Linked DNA regions of Ovis aries. The protein of the gene in region 1 purifies or fractionates together with the protein of each later gene. This does not show direct contact. Links are inferred from orthologs where the notes say so. Each region holds a gene or a part of one and is shown on either strand. Other genes may lie near its edges.

Evidence for each region.
Region 2: the proteins of EEF2K (region 1) and BTRC purify together in Homo sapiens (affinity purification with western blotting; 4 studies listed by BioGRID and IntAct, with this or other methods). This does not show direct contact. The link is inferred for Ovis aries from reciprocal best matches to the Homo sapiens genes EEF2K and BTRC.

The regions. Positions count from the first base shown.
Region 1 is NC_056077.1:20,436,110-20,442,089, reverse strand, and holds the start of EEF2K (eukaryotic elongation factor 2 kinase), read right to left. Parts: upstream 3,758-5,980; 5' UTR 3,440-3,757; intron 2,951-3,439; exon of another isoform or gene 2,885-2,950; intron 1-2,884. UniProt on the Homo sapiens protein: Threonine kinase that regulates protein synthesis by controlling the rate of peptide chain elongation.
Region 2 is NC_056075.1:21,897,894-21,904,048, reverse strand, and holds the start of BTRC (F-box/WD repeat-containing protein 1A), read right to left. Parts: upstream 3,968-6,155; 5' UTR 3,899-3,967; coding exon 3,851-3,898; exon of another isoform or gene 3,814-3,850; intron 1-3,813. UniProt on the Homo sapiens protein: Substrate recognition component of a SCF (SKP1-CUL1-F-box protein) E3 ubiquitin-protein ligase complex which mediates the ubiquitination and subsequent proteasomal degradation of target proteins. Recognizes and binds to phosphorylated target proteins.

The DNA.
Region 1 (5,980 bases):
AGTGGGAAAGCCTGGATCATGCGGAGGCCCTCAAAAAGCAGCCAAGACAAGGATTGGGCCCAACAAGCTTTGGAGATGAACAGATCTGGGTTCAAGTCCGGGCTCTGCCACTACTAGCTGAGTGCCATTGGGCAAATTAGCTAACCTCTCTGAAACTTGGCTTCCTCATGTGCATAATTCACTCATCTACCAAGTGGGGCAGTGTGAGCAAGGTGGAGAAGAGGTGAGAGAGCTGGTCTGTGGCGCAGAAGCCAGCTGTCCACTGTGTTTTGCGTACCCCTGACCAAATCCTTTTGCATCTAGGTGAGGCCAGGGGGCTACATGTGAGGTGGTGGAGCGCGGACAGAAGTAACTGGCGCTGCTATCAGGCCCATCCCATCCCTGAGGCCCGTTTTCGGCACCCTGGTCAGCCTCCCCTGCACTGCAATGCTGTCCTGAGACACGTAGCCCAGAACAGAGTCACAGCTTTCCAGCACCACTCACAAAGCTCCTGCTCAGCCCCCTGGAGAACAAGGGTTCCCTGCTCCCTGGGCTCACCCACATGGTGCCATCTGTTTGGCACACGCCCTAACCTGCTCTCCCTACCCATCCCCTAGCCAGTTCTGCTCATCCCTCAGGTCTCAGGTTAGATAGATGTCACCTCCTCCAGGAAGCATCGCTGGAGCCCCAGGAGTTTGGCACCATTAGCCTCATCCTACAGATGAAGAAACTGAGGAACAGAGAGGTGAAGCGACTTGCCCCTAATCACGCGGCCAGAAGGCAGGGGAGGTGGGTTTGCAGCCAGTGCAGATCCATCCAGGGTTCGCTCAGCCCTGACTTCCTAAACCACTTTCAAACTGTGATTCCTGGGACCACTAGCAGGTCCCACTTCTACTCGTCACATGTGCAAATTCTGGGGGCCCCGTGCCAGTCCTGCTCAAGTAAACTCTGGGGATGGGCCCGGCAAGCCGTGTTTAAACAATTCCTCCAGGTGGTGTAGATATGCACCGAAATTCAAGAACCACTGGCCCGTTAAAATTTAAAAAATAAAAACTTAAAAAAAAAAAAAAAAGAACCACTGGCCCAGAGACATGTTCTCAGTTGAGCCTCCTGCCTTTTGGCCACTCCCTGTGGAATCCTTGCGAGGTCTAGAAAGTGTCCCAGCTGGAGAACTAAACACTGTCTGCCCTCTGATTTTCTAGCCATCTGAAATGCTTCTCTGGGTGTTCCACGGCCCTGGGTCTTTGGACAAGTTACTGTCTTCTACTTTATTATCAAGCCTGTTAGTGACTCACTTCTTCCTTTGTTGGAAGCCTGCTTCTTGTGCCCATCAGCCTTGGTGGCAGGAGTATAATTCAGCAACACTTGAAGGGCCAAGCCACTTTTATACTGTGGTGAGCACTATAGTCACTTTCTTCTAGAACATTCTCAGTTCGCTGGGGTTACATCTGCAGCTTCTTGATCAGCAGAACTGATCTCCCCAGCACAAAAATGTTTATTTTTAAGTCAGTCCAGCAAGCCACTATTACATTGAATGAGGTCCTGGTCATCAACACTTCCTGTATCAACTTTAAGAATCAAACCAGAAAGAGTAAATCTTAAGAGAATGAGCCTGAACAAATCCAAGTTTCTGCTGGTGACCCTCAGCTTTCTTCCACACTGCTCTCTGTGTCCTGGCACCTGGATGTCAACCCTGCCAAAGACTGGACCAGACTTCTTTGGGGAATCTGATCAGTGTGAGAAAAAGGGCCTAAAGACACCCTCCCCTGCAGAACACCAGATCACCCCGAGGGGAAAGCCACAACCAAGAAGCCCCTCTCATACCCACAGATGTTTCATAGGGCTTCCTGGAGCCCCAGTTTCTTCAGCAGATAGTCACAGACCACCAGAGAGGTGGAAAGGAGAGCTCCCGTCAATCAGGGACCCAGCCACCTTCCAGGCTGTGGCTCTGCCCTCTGCCAGGCCCTCACAGTCCTCTCAACTCTGCTGGTAAATAGGAGAATGGGGGAGGTTTTCAGGGTCCAGCCTTGGGGGAGACACACACTATTTCTGCTCATATTCCAACAAGCCAAAACTTAGTCATGTGGCCCAACAAATTATAAGGGAGCCCACAAAACGCAACCAGGATGATATCCCAGGAAGAGGAGGACATGGTGACCAACAGCCATCTCTGCCACATAATACATTAAAAATGTTTAAAGATCGTATCAGTGATACATCCTTAATCAGCCAGAAAGTACTGTCCTGTCACCCAAAGCACACACACACACACACCCTGCTGCAAATCACAGAATGTACACAAGTGACCATATGTAAACAGATCATTTCAAGGGATCCTCAGACCCTGACTTCCTCTCTCCCCACCCCCTACAAAAGATAATTTGGGACAGCAGCCCACATCCCTTCTTGAAGAATAGGAGAGGAGGGGGGATGGCAATCCCAACCATCCTGTTACACCTGAAATCCCAGCAGCTTTATTGTATTTGTTGAATAAATGCCTGGAGTAAAAAATGAAAGGTGCTGTGGAGGCCAGGGAGAAGGACACCTAGGAAACTCTAAATCCCACTTCCTCCCACAGGCATCCTTTCCATCACCACCTCCAGGAAGCCTTCCCCAATGACCCCCCACAAGACCTCCCCCCCGCCCACGCCACACACACGGCATTATCAGCTCCCACCTGCTTGCTCTCTATTCCTTCACTTAGCCCACCTTGCTCATTAGTACCTGCTGTTAGATTACTCTGGGCCTCAGTTTCCTTCTCTGTAAAATCAGAGGGGTAGACAATTTCCTGTCTGAGCGGCCCCCAGGCAGCAGCTTCCAGGGCCGAGCACCCAGAAGTCAGGCTCCCACAGAACTTCCCTCCTGCAGACTAGCCACCCTCCTCCCAGCAGCCCATGTGTCTCACCGGGGCGCAGCTGGGCGGGTTCCCCGCAACCCCCGAGGCCCGCGCAGCGGATCTAGGCCGGGACTCACCCGGGGAGGCCCCCGCCCCGCCACTCCGCATACTGATGCCCGGCCCCTTGGCGCACTTGCCCACGGGGCCTGCCAACACCCGAAACTCCCGCAGTCAACAGTGCAGCAAGGGTGCGTCGACACTGTCCTTGAGGTTCCTGGAACTGGGGCCTCTTGTTCGGGGGCCCAGGTGGGGGATGCGGCTTCGGCATCCCTCCCCCACCTCTGCGGGCCCCGAGGCGCCCCAGGCGGAGGCCCCCAAGCTGCCTCTCCCACACCAAGGAGTGCCAAGTATTTTCCTAATAGGCTCTGCCGTTAATCGGCACGACGCTCCCATTTTACAGAAGCAAGCAGTGAAAGCCGAAGAGCTGAACCCTCACATTCTCCTTCCGCCTCGAGCCCCGCTTTAAGCACCGGACCCTGAGCGCTCCGGACGCCGGCAGCACCGGGGCGCGCCGGCCTGCAGCGCCGGATCCCGGCCCCCTTGGCCAACCGCGGCCCCACTTACCTGCCTCGGGCGGCCCGGCGCGGCAGCCGCTGCTCACGGCCGCGAGGATCCAGAGGAACTGGCAGAGGCTCGTGGCCCGGTGCTCCAGGGTGCAGGGCGGGCGGGCCCCCCGAAAATGCCGGGGAGCGGCGAGCCGGGCGCGCGGGCCGGCGCTCGGGGGAGGCGGCGGCGGCCGCAGGAACGGTCCCGGGGCGCGAGGGGTGCGCGGAGCCGCTGGAATGATCCCGGGGCGCTAGGGGAGCGTTCCGAGGGCCACCGTCAGCGGGGCTGGGGCAGCTGCAGCGGCAGCGCGACTTGCGGGAGGCGGATCCCCACACTGGCAGAGCTGGGGCTGGGGCCGGAGGCGGCGCGCCGGGGCGGGGCCGCGGCGCTCACGTGGCCGCCCCCAGTGGCCGCCCGGGCTCCTTCTGCCGCCGCGTGGACCTCCCGGCGCTGCGTCTGCGGCTGACTAGCCAGCTGAATACAGAGCTTCCGGATCTAACGCCTGCGGCAGGCCTGGCCACCTACTGGCAAAGGGGGCGCCCGCCCAGCGGGTAATTTCAGAGGGGACAGCTAACCCCTTGCTCTCGTACCGCACCCTCCCATTCTCCATCCGCTGCCTGTCTAGTTCCTGTATTCGAATCCTTTCCAAAATCAGTAATGATCCGGTCTCATTGTACGTCTCAAATCGCTTTTTTTCTGATCTCTGCTTTGCAAAAACTTATGGCAATTATTTGTGTAATTATTTGTATAGTACGTTGCTGTAGTCCTCTTAGCGCACGGCTTGGCATCGGCGTGCGTGCTAAGTTGCTTCAGTTGTGTCTGTGACTCTGTGTGACCCTATGGACTGTAGCCCGCCATGCTCCTCTGTCCATGGGATTCTCCAGGCAAGAATACAGGAGTGGGTTGTCATGCCCTCCACCAGGGGATCCTTCCCGGCCTGGTACCTAGCAAGTGCTTAATAAATACCTGGGAAATGAACAAATAAATACGGTAAAGTATAACGAAGAAAAGGAAATAAAACTAATGATAACCACTGTGAACAAGTTCATATTATATCTTCCTATTTTCCTAGCGAAATTTTAGAATTTCATAACTGTTAAATTTAGAAATAAGACTTCGCTGGTTGTCCAGTGGTTCAGACTCTGGGCTTCCACTGCACGGGGCACAGAAAAAAAAGAAATAACTGATATGTATCAAGCGTTTTTTCTCATACTATCTTCATGTCAACCTTTGTAGCTGTATTGTACAGATCATAAAACTGAGGCTTATAGAGATACAGTTGCCCAGAAGATTTCCAAGGTAGGGGCCCCAGGCAAACGCAGAGAAACAAGTGCACGCAGGCAGGCCAGAAACAGAGAGACAGGGTTACCTAAGTATGATTGTGGGAGTGTTTACATTTTTCCTAACAAGAGTGGACTCTTACCTATTTCTCCTATCCACTCAACACTGGATTGTAAACATGTTTCTGTGGTCAAGGGCTACCTGTCATTTGCAATGCCTTCTTCGATGAGCCTTTTTGGAGTTGTGATAAGAACTGATATTTACAGGACATTCACTTTGTATCAGGCACTTTGGTAACTGCTTTATAGACATTATCTTTTTAAATTCTGGTCATAATCCTCTTATTTTCCCCACTTCATAAACAGGGAGACTAAGGCAGGTGAAGTGACTCTCCCAAGTTTACATAGGAAGTCGCAGATTTTGACCTAGGTCTCAGTATATATTGACCACTCCCTAGAATGTCCTGTCCATTAGTCTTGACTCTTCAGTTTTGTGTGTGTGTGCTCAGTTGCTTGAGATGTCCAACTCTTTGCAACCCTATGGACTGTAGCCCGCCAGGCTCCTCCTTCCATGGGATTTCCCAGGCAAGAATACTGGAGTGGGTTGCCATTTCCTAATTTAGGGCATCTTCCCAACCCAGGGATCAAAGCCCTGTCTCCTGGGTCTCCTGCACTGACATGAGGATTCGTTATCATTGCACCACCTGGGAGGGCCACTTCAGTTTTTGTGGCCCCTGAAAATTCAGATTCTGTTGGGAGAGTGAAGTCCTTCAGCTTACCAGCTGCAGTGGTCTCTAGGGAGTAGGTACAAGTTTATGAGGCTTGGGGAGAGGGTGACATTCAGGCAGCACCTCATAAGGTGGTGAAGGGAATGAAAAAAAAAGAAATGGTCCTGAAACCATTGGTCTTTGAGTGTTTTACCCTTTGGCCTAAATACTACAAGTTTCAGAAAATGCAAGATCTAGAAGATACATATCATTTTTGTTTAAAATATTGGTTCCATTAGTCACCTTCAAAAAACTTTGGCTTTCAGCATAAAACAAAATTATACCTGGAAATTTTAACTACGGGAAAGCTGGACAAGAACAGAGTCTGAGCTAATCTGTTCAAGCCCAAAGAAAGGCCAAAAAAAAAAAAAGAGACTGCTCTACTTATAGCTCTGTGGCTCTAGACAAGTTTTTTGGCTTCTTTTTTCCTCTCTATGGTGTATGAGCATCTTTTGTTTTTAAGGAACCAGTACACCCTATTCTCGATTCATGAGAACAGCCCTCTCCACTCT
Region 2 (6,155 bases), on another chromosome or scaffold:
GTTATCCAACCAGCTGGTAATCAATCTCACTGATTTAAAGAAAAGTCCATCACAGTGAAAAATCTGAATACTTATTTTAAAATGCAATTTCTTGTTTTTAGATATATATGGTTCTCAAGCAAATAAAAGTTCCTGAATCATATCAACTCATCCAGTATTATCTCTACAGTAACATTATTAAGACAAGTTATACAGGAGATCACGATAGTTTTTTAAGAAGTTTATCTCAAAAATGAGAGGTCTCCAAAGCATTCCAAGTGTTAATAGCCACAAATGTGGCTGATCCCATCTGTATTTTCTGCCTGAGCATCCAACTAGAACAGCATCTATGGTAGCCAGTCTCAAAAGGTCCTGGCCCCCAGAAATTTCCCTCTCTCTGTTCATGCATGCTACTCTTTTTGTCTACAGGGAGAGATTATTTTCCCTCCCTCTGACTCTGGGCCGGCCTTTACTGTCTCTGACCAATAGCAACATTCTCAACTTCCAAACCTAGGACTTAAGAAAATTGGCTGGCTTCTTTCTTATCTCCTGGAATGCTCCCCTTCTTAGAACCCAGACACCATGCTTTAAGGAAATCCAAAAGAAGGCCATATGGAGAAAGGAGGACAAGAAGGCCTTATTGCTAGCTGAACTCACAGACAGTGGCTGGCCGTGAGAAACTGGCCATTTTGGGCCAGCCATGAGAGATTGTGGCCATTTTGAACATTCCAGCCAACACTAGGCAAAACAGAAAATGCACCAATCAACAAAAGATTTATGTTTGTTACACAGCAAGTTAACCTTTACACTGTTTCACTTATCTATCAATAAAAAAACTATTTTATACATCTTGAAATTATTTCATCCATGTGTCAAATTTTCCTAGTTCTAAGATCCCGAGACCAGTTTATCCTGTCCATTTAAAAATAAATTTCAAATCCATCCCTCAACTTGTCATATAAATAGATAAAATACAGAAGGAGAGACAGATATAGATATAGTACAGATATTCAAAGATGAAGTTTAAGTATAGACCATGTATGAATTATGGTCAAATCTGAATCGGTCTCACTGATAAGGTTTTATTATAAAAATTAATCAAATTACTACATCAATACAGTAATGAGCAAAATTCATAAAAGAGAATATCCATTTCATGCTATTTTAAACAAAATTTTATATTTTCTTAAACTGTAGAAATCAGGGCATCCTATACAAAAATTGTCATTCACACCTCAGAATTGAGGGAAAGGATAAGGACAAAATAAAGCCAAATACTATATAAAAATTTCAATTTGATTAAAAGGATAGTCTTTTCCATGTGTACTGTGCATTAATTACCAGGTGCAAGCACAAATAAAGTATCTTCCTATCTCAAATGACTAAGTAAACAAACATAACAGAGTAAATGGGACCAAAGGCAGGTTGTGACTTAAATTCATAATAAGACTGTTACTGAGGTGAAAAGGGCTTCCCTGGTGGCTCAGACGGTAAAGGATCCACCTGCAATGCGGGAGACCTGGGTTCAATCCCTGGGTTGAGAAGATCCCCTGGAGAAGGAAATGGCAACCCACTTCAGAATTCTTGCCTGGAGAATCCCCATGGACAGAGGAGCCTGGCGGGCTATAATCCAAGGGGTCTCAAAGAATCAGATACAACTGAGCAACTAAGCACAGCACTGAGCTGAAAAAGAATGCCAAATCTTTAACTCTCCATTCTGTTGCAGTTATTAAGGTGTCATTCTTGGTGACCCTTTTCCAGCTGGCCTTCTCGCAAACAGCAGCCATAACAGCAGGCAAGGTCAAAAATGAAAGTAACTAAAATTGAAGAAAAATTGGTTTCTCCTTATGGAAACTGACTCAACATTTAATAATGTGTGGTGTCCCAAAAGCTTCAAACTACTCATGGCCATCTCTAGCTCCAACTTTAACTCAATCAGGAGACCATTATCAAAACAACTCACTGGTACAAAGCAGAGATCAATTGGTTGAAAATGTTCCTAGGCTGAGGTCTATCAGGGACTAAAGAAGATGATCTCATAAGGTCCCTTTATGATCTGTTAAAACCACATTATTCCATAAATCTGACACGTGTCAAGATTAGGACAAAACAAAAATAAGCAGCTGTCACTTTTCTTACTTAAATCTAGAAGCTGGCTGTACACACAAAGCAACTTCGTCTCACTTCTGAAGTCCGAAACAATTCTGAAGCCTCTTAATATTTTAGAATTTCAACAGTGGGCAGAAACTCAAGAACTTTCTTCAGGTCTAATAGTATTTTGTTAAAGATACACTTGAACTTTAGTTAGGCATTTTAGAAAGCACTAATACAAAATAAATAAAGTTACAGTAAATATGACCAGACTCTTAAATTATATTCTTGTAAATGCAGCAGTTTAAAGCCTAAATTCAATTAGGTTAGTGTCCATGGTTTGTTTAGATTTGTTTTGGTATCTAAGGCCAAGAAGACAAAACAACAACTATCTAACAAAAGAAATAAAGATTTGGAGTGACAGGTTACAATTACTTCTGAAAAAGCAAACAGACTGTAAAATAATATCAATGGTCCCTATGGACACCAGTTAAGACAGAAAGAAGTCTATGCATCCCATCATTCTTTAGCTGTAACCACCAAGTCTGGTTTTACATCTGGGATATACAAATGAAGCATCAGATTAAATGCATCAAATAGCTATACACATTTGCTAAACATACACATATCAAAAAAAGAAAAGCATGATACAAAGTTAAAGAATTAGACTCCAAAGGATTGAAACACACCCACAAAATTCAAGTTCATACTGTGCTTCAACCTAAAAGTCCTAAGTAACTACTAACCCTGACATTTCCTATTATTCTCCACCATCTGCATTCCCCCTTTTATCTCCTGAATTTCTCCAGTGATCTTATTACTTCTTATGGGTCTTTGGATGCTAATCTGCATAGCCTTTCCATTCCCAGAAAGTGATACTGCACCTGATCTCCACATTTTACTGTCTCTACGATATCGCATCAAGTTTTGTTTTACACTATTAGATATTAATTTTGCCCCTAATCTCCTGTACCTAGGTTTCCCTAACCAGTGAACCTCTTCTGTCTTCTTTCAAACTAGAGAATGTATACCCTTTTCCTGATACCTGTAACTCTGGCATCTATTCAACCTCTTCCCTTTCCCAAAGACTGTCATCACAGTGCGAGGTCCCCGTCCCCAGTCCTTACCTTCCTAAGTAAGGCCTAGTTCTTTCCAGAGTTTGCCAACATTAGTTTGTTTGCCCAAGCTGGGATTGTACCCTGAAGGCTATCTCTCCCACCTCACTCTACAAGACTGTAAGTCTCCCAGCAGTCCTCTTTCTGCTCTACCTTAGATCCATCCACATCCAGCCTTGCCCGTTTTTCCCACCCTCCTCCCACTCCCAGTATCTTTCCTCCCACTGTCCAGCGTTCCCCTTCCCTACTACTGAATGCACCTCTTCTCCAGGGCCTCACCCGTAACCCTCACACCGGCAAGGCCCTGCCAGCGGCCTCACGGCGTCTCTCCTCCTGGCCTCCTCAGCTCTTCAGTAACTGTCCCTAAGCCCCTTACTCTCCAGGGCCCCGCGCGCCCCAGAGACCCCTCCCCGATTAAGCTCTCGCTGTCACTTGGCCTCTCATCCACAAGATGGCGGAGCTGCTGCCCCCACCCCCGGGTCCTCTCCGCAACCCCTCCTACCTCCCAGAAGCTCCCGTCCCGTCCCTCCAGCCGCCCCCGCCGCCGGCCTCGGCCCAGGGTCTCGCTGTGCCCTCCTCCAACGGGCAGGCAGCCCAGGCCCGAGCCTCAGAGACGCCGCCAACGCACCGCCTGCACAGTTCCCCGGCCTGCACCTTCTCCTCACCATAAACTTGAGCGCTTTTTCCTGCAGCACCGCCTCGGCCGGGTCCATAATCGCCAGGGGCCACTGGGTCTGCACTCCGCCGGGGCCGCCCCCTTGATGCCAGGCCGCAGCCAACGCAGCGCCCGGATCCCGCCTCCTCTTCCTTTCCTCCGCCCTCTTACCTCTCAGGCACTGGCAGGGGGGCCAGGGAGGACAAGGTGTCCTTTGCGCATGCGTGTTGCCCGCTGGCTCACGGGATTTGTGGTTCTGGAGGTTCCTGAAGCAAAAAAGTGACGCCACACTACGAACTGCAACTCCCGCGGTTCACTGCGGTAGGGTCGCGGTGTCTCCCACGCCAAATCTAGACAACTGACCGTCAAGTAGAGAAGATCAGCGTATGGGAATCGTAGTTTGCGGCCTCTAGAGCTGAGAAACGGGAGGGGCATCGGTGTCTCCGTGGTTACCGAGCGACGCCAGTGGCGACTTGCCTGGCAATTGATATCAAGATGGCGACCGGCGCCTCACCTGTAGCCCAAATACTAGAAAAAGCTCTGAGAGGACAGAGACGCTAGGGCCTCCCTAACTGTTGTTATAGAGAACTGACGCCCCCCAAATTCCTATGTCTGGCGTCTGAAGGACGGATTTTGACTGGGACGCCTGGCCTATGGGCACCTAGCAGTAGCTTCATGCTGAAATGCAGAGTTTCAAGGTCTTTCTAAGTCATCGCGCCATACTTCCACCTTATTCTAACCCACTATAAGTCAGGGTCTAATAGAACTCGACTCAGAATATTCTCGGGTGTTTAGCACTCAGAAACCATGGCCGGCTACTGCTAACCCTGAGATGTAAGCCCTGCATTCAGGGTTAAATGGGTACTTCCAAAAGGTCTTTAATGGTGGGATATAATGGCCATCGAGCAAATAAAGCATGTAGTATTTAGTTTGGCCTTAAAGGGGACTGTACGAATTTATTTTGGAAATCAGCTTACCATAAAATGCGAAAACACTAGGGTTGTGCTAAAAGTGACAGGCTTGTACAAAATACCTGAGTTTATAAAATAGGGAAATAGCTTTTCGTTTATAGGGAAATCTTCCACTGTATATTTTATTCATTTGTTCATTCAACAAACAGCACATATAACCATGTGCGGATAATTGTGCCCAAGAGATGGGGATTCAATAGTGAACACAATAGTCCTGCTCTCATGGAACTTACATTTCTAGTATATCGATACTTTGTCCTACTCATCTCTATGTTCTCAGAACTCAGCACATTACCTATATATAATAAAGTTAATTAAAAGTTATACTCTTGAATTTTTTTTTTTAAGGGACTTCCCTGGTGGTCCAGTGGCTAAGACTCCCTACTCCCAGTGCACTGAGCCCAGTTTCCATCCCTGGTCAGGGAACTAGATCCTAAATGCCCCAACTGAGAGTTCACATGCTGTAACCAAAATCAAAGATTCCAGGTGCCACAACTAAGACCCAGTGCAGGCAAATAAATGAATAAATTTTTTTAAAAAAATTTAAGTTCTGCTACTACTACTATTGCAAAATGAAGACTCAAAATTCATTCATATGAAAACTACCTGCAACTTTTCATAGGCAGTATGTGATATGGTTGCCAAAAAAGCTAAAGTTTAAAAGTTAGGCAGCTTGAAGAGAGTAGTGTCTCGGGAATACAGTTTTATGGTTTTACTCTGTTTTGAATCACTAAGACCACACCTGGAGCACTTTGTTCAGTTATGGGCACCATGTTCTGTAAACATCTTATGCAGGAGCACAGCCAAGGACAAGATAACCGAAAGAGAAAATATTGATAAATGACTACTCTGAAGAAAGAGCACTTAAGAATAACATGGCAAATAAATTTAAGTATTTTAAAATACTGAAAGGCATATGTATATAGCTCTATAGGGTAAAGTAGGACCACTGGATAGGATAATAATAGTGATGGTGGTGATGATGATAACAGCTGTCACTTTATTAGCTCTTTGTGACTAGGTATCTCATATTCATAATTTATAATATAGAGTAACTTTGTAAAGCAGGTATTATTATCCCTAATTTACAGATGAAGTAAGTGAGATTGAGGAGATAAGTAACTTGATCAAGTCACCCAGCAAATTACATCATCAGGATTCTAACCCCATCTGCTTGACTGCAAGGCCTGTGCTATTTTCACTGAACTACACTGTAATGACACAAGATTCAGATTCACGCTTTCTAGTAACCAGAGCTGTCTTGACAAAGGAAACATAGAGGCAGGGTGACCATGTTGTCTGAAAATATAGAGGCAGGATTGTCTAGGAGAGTTCAGTTTGGGT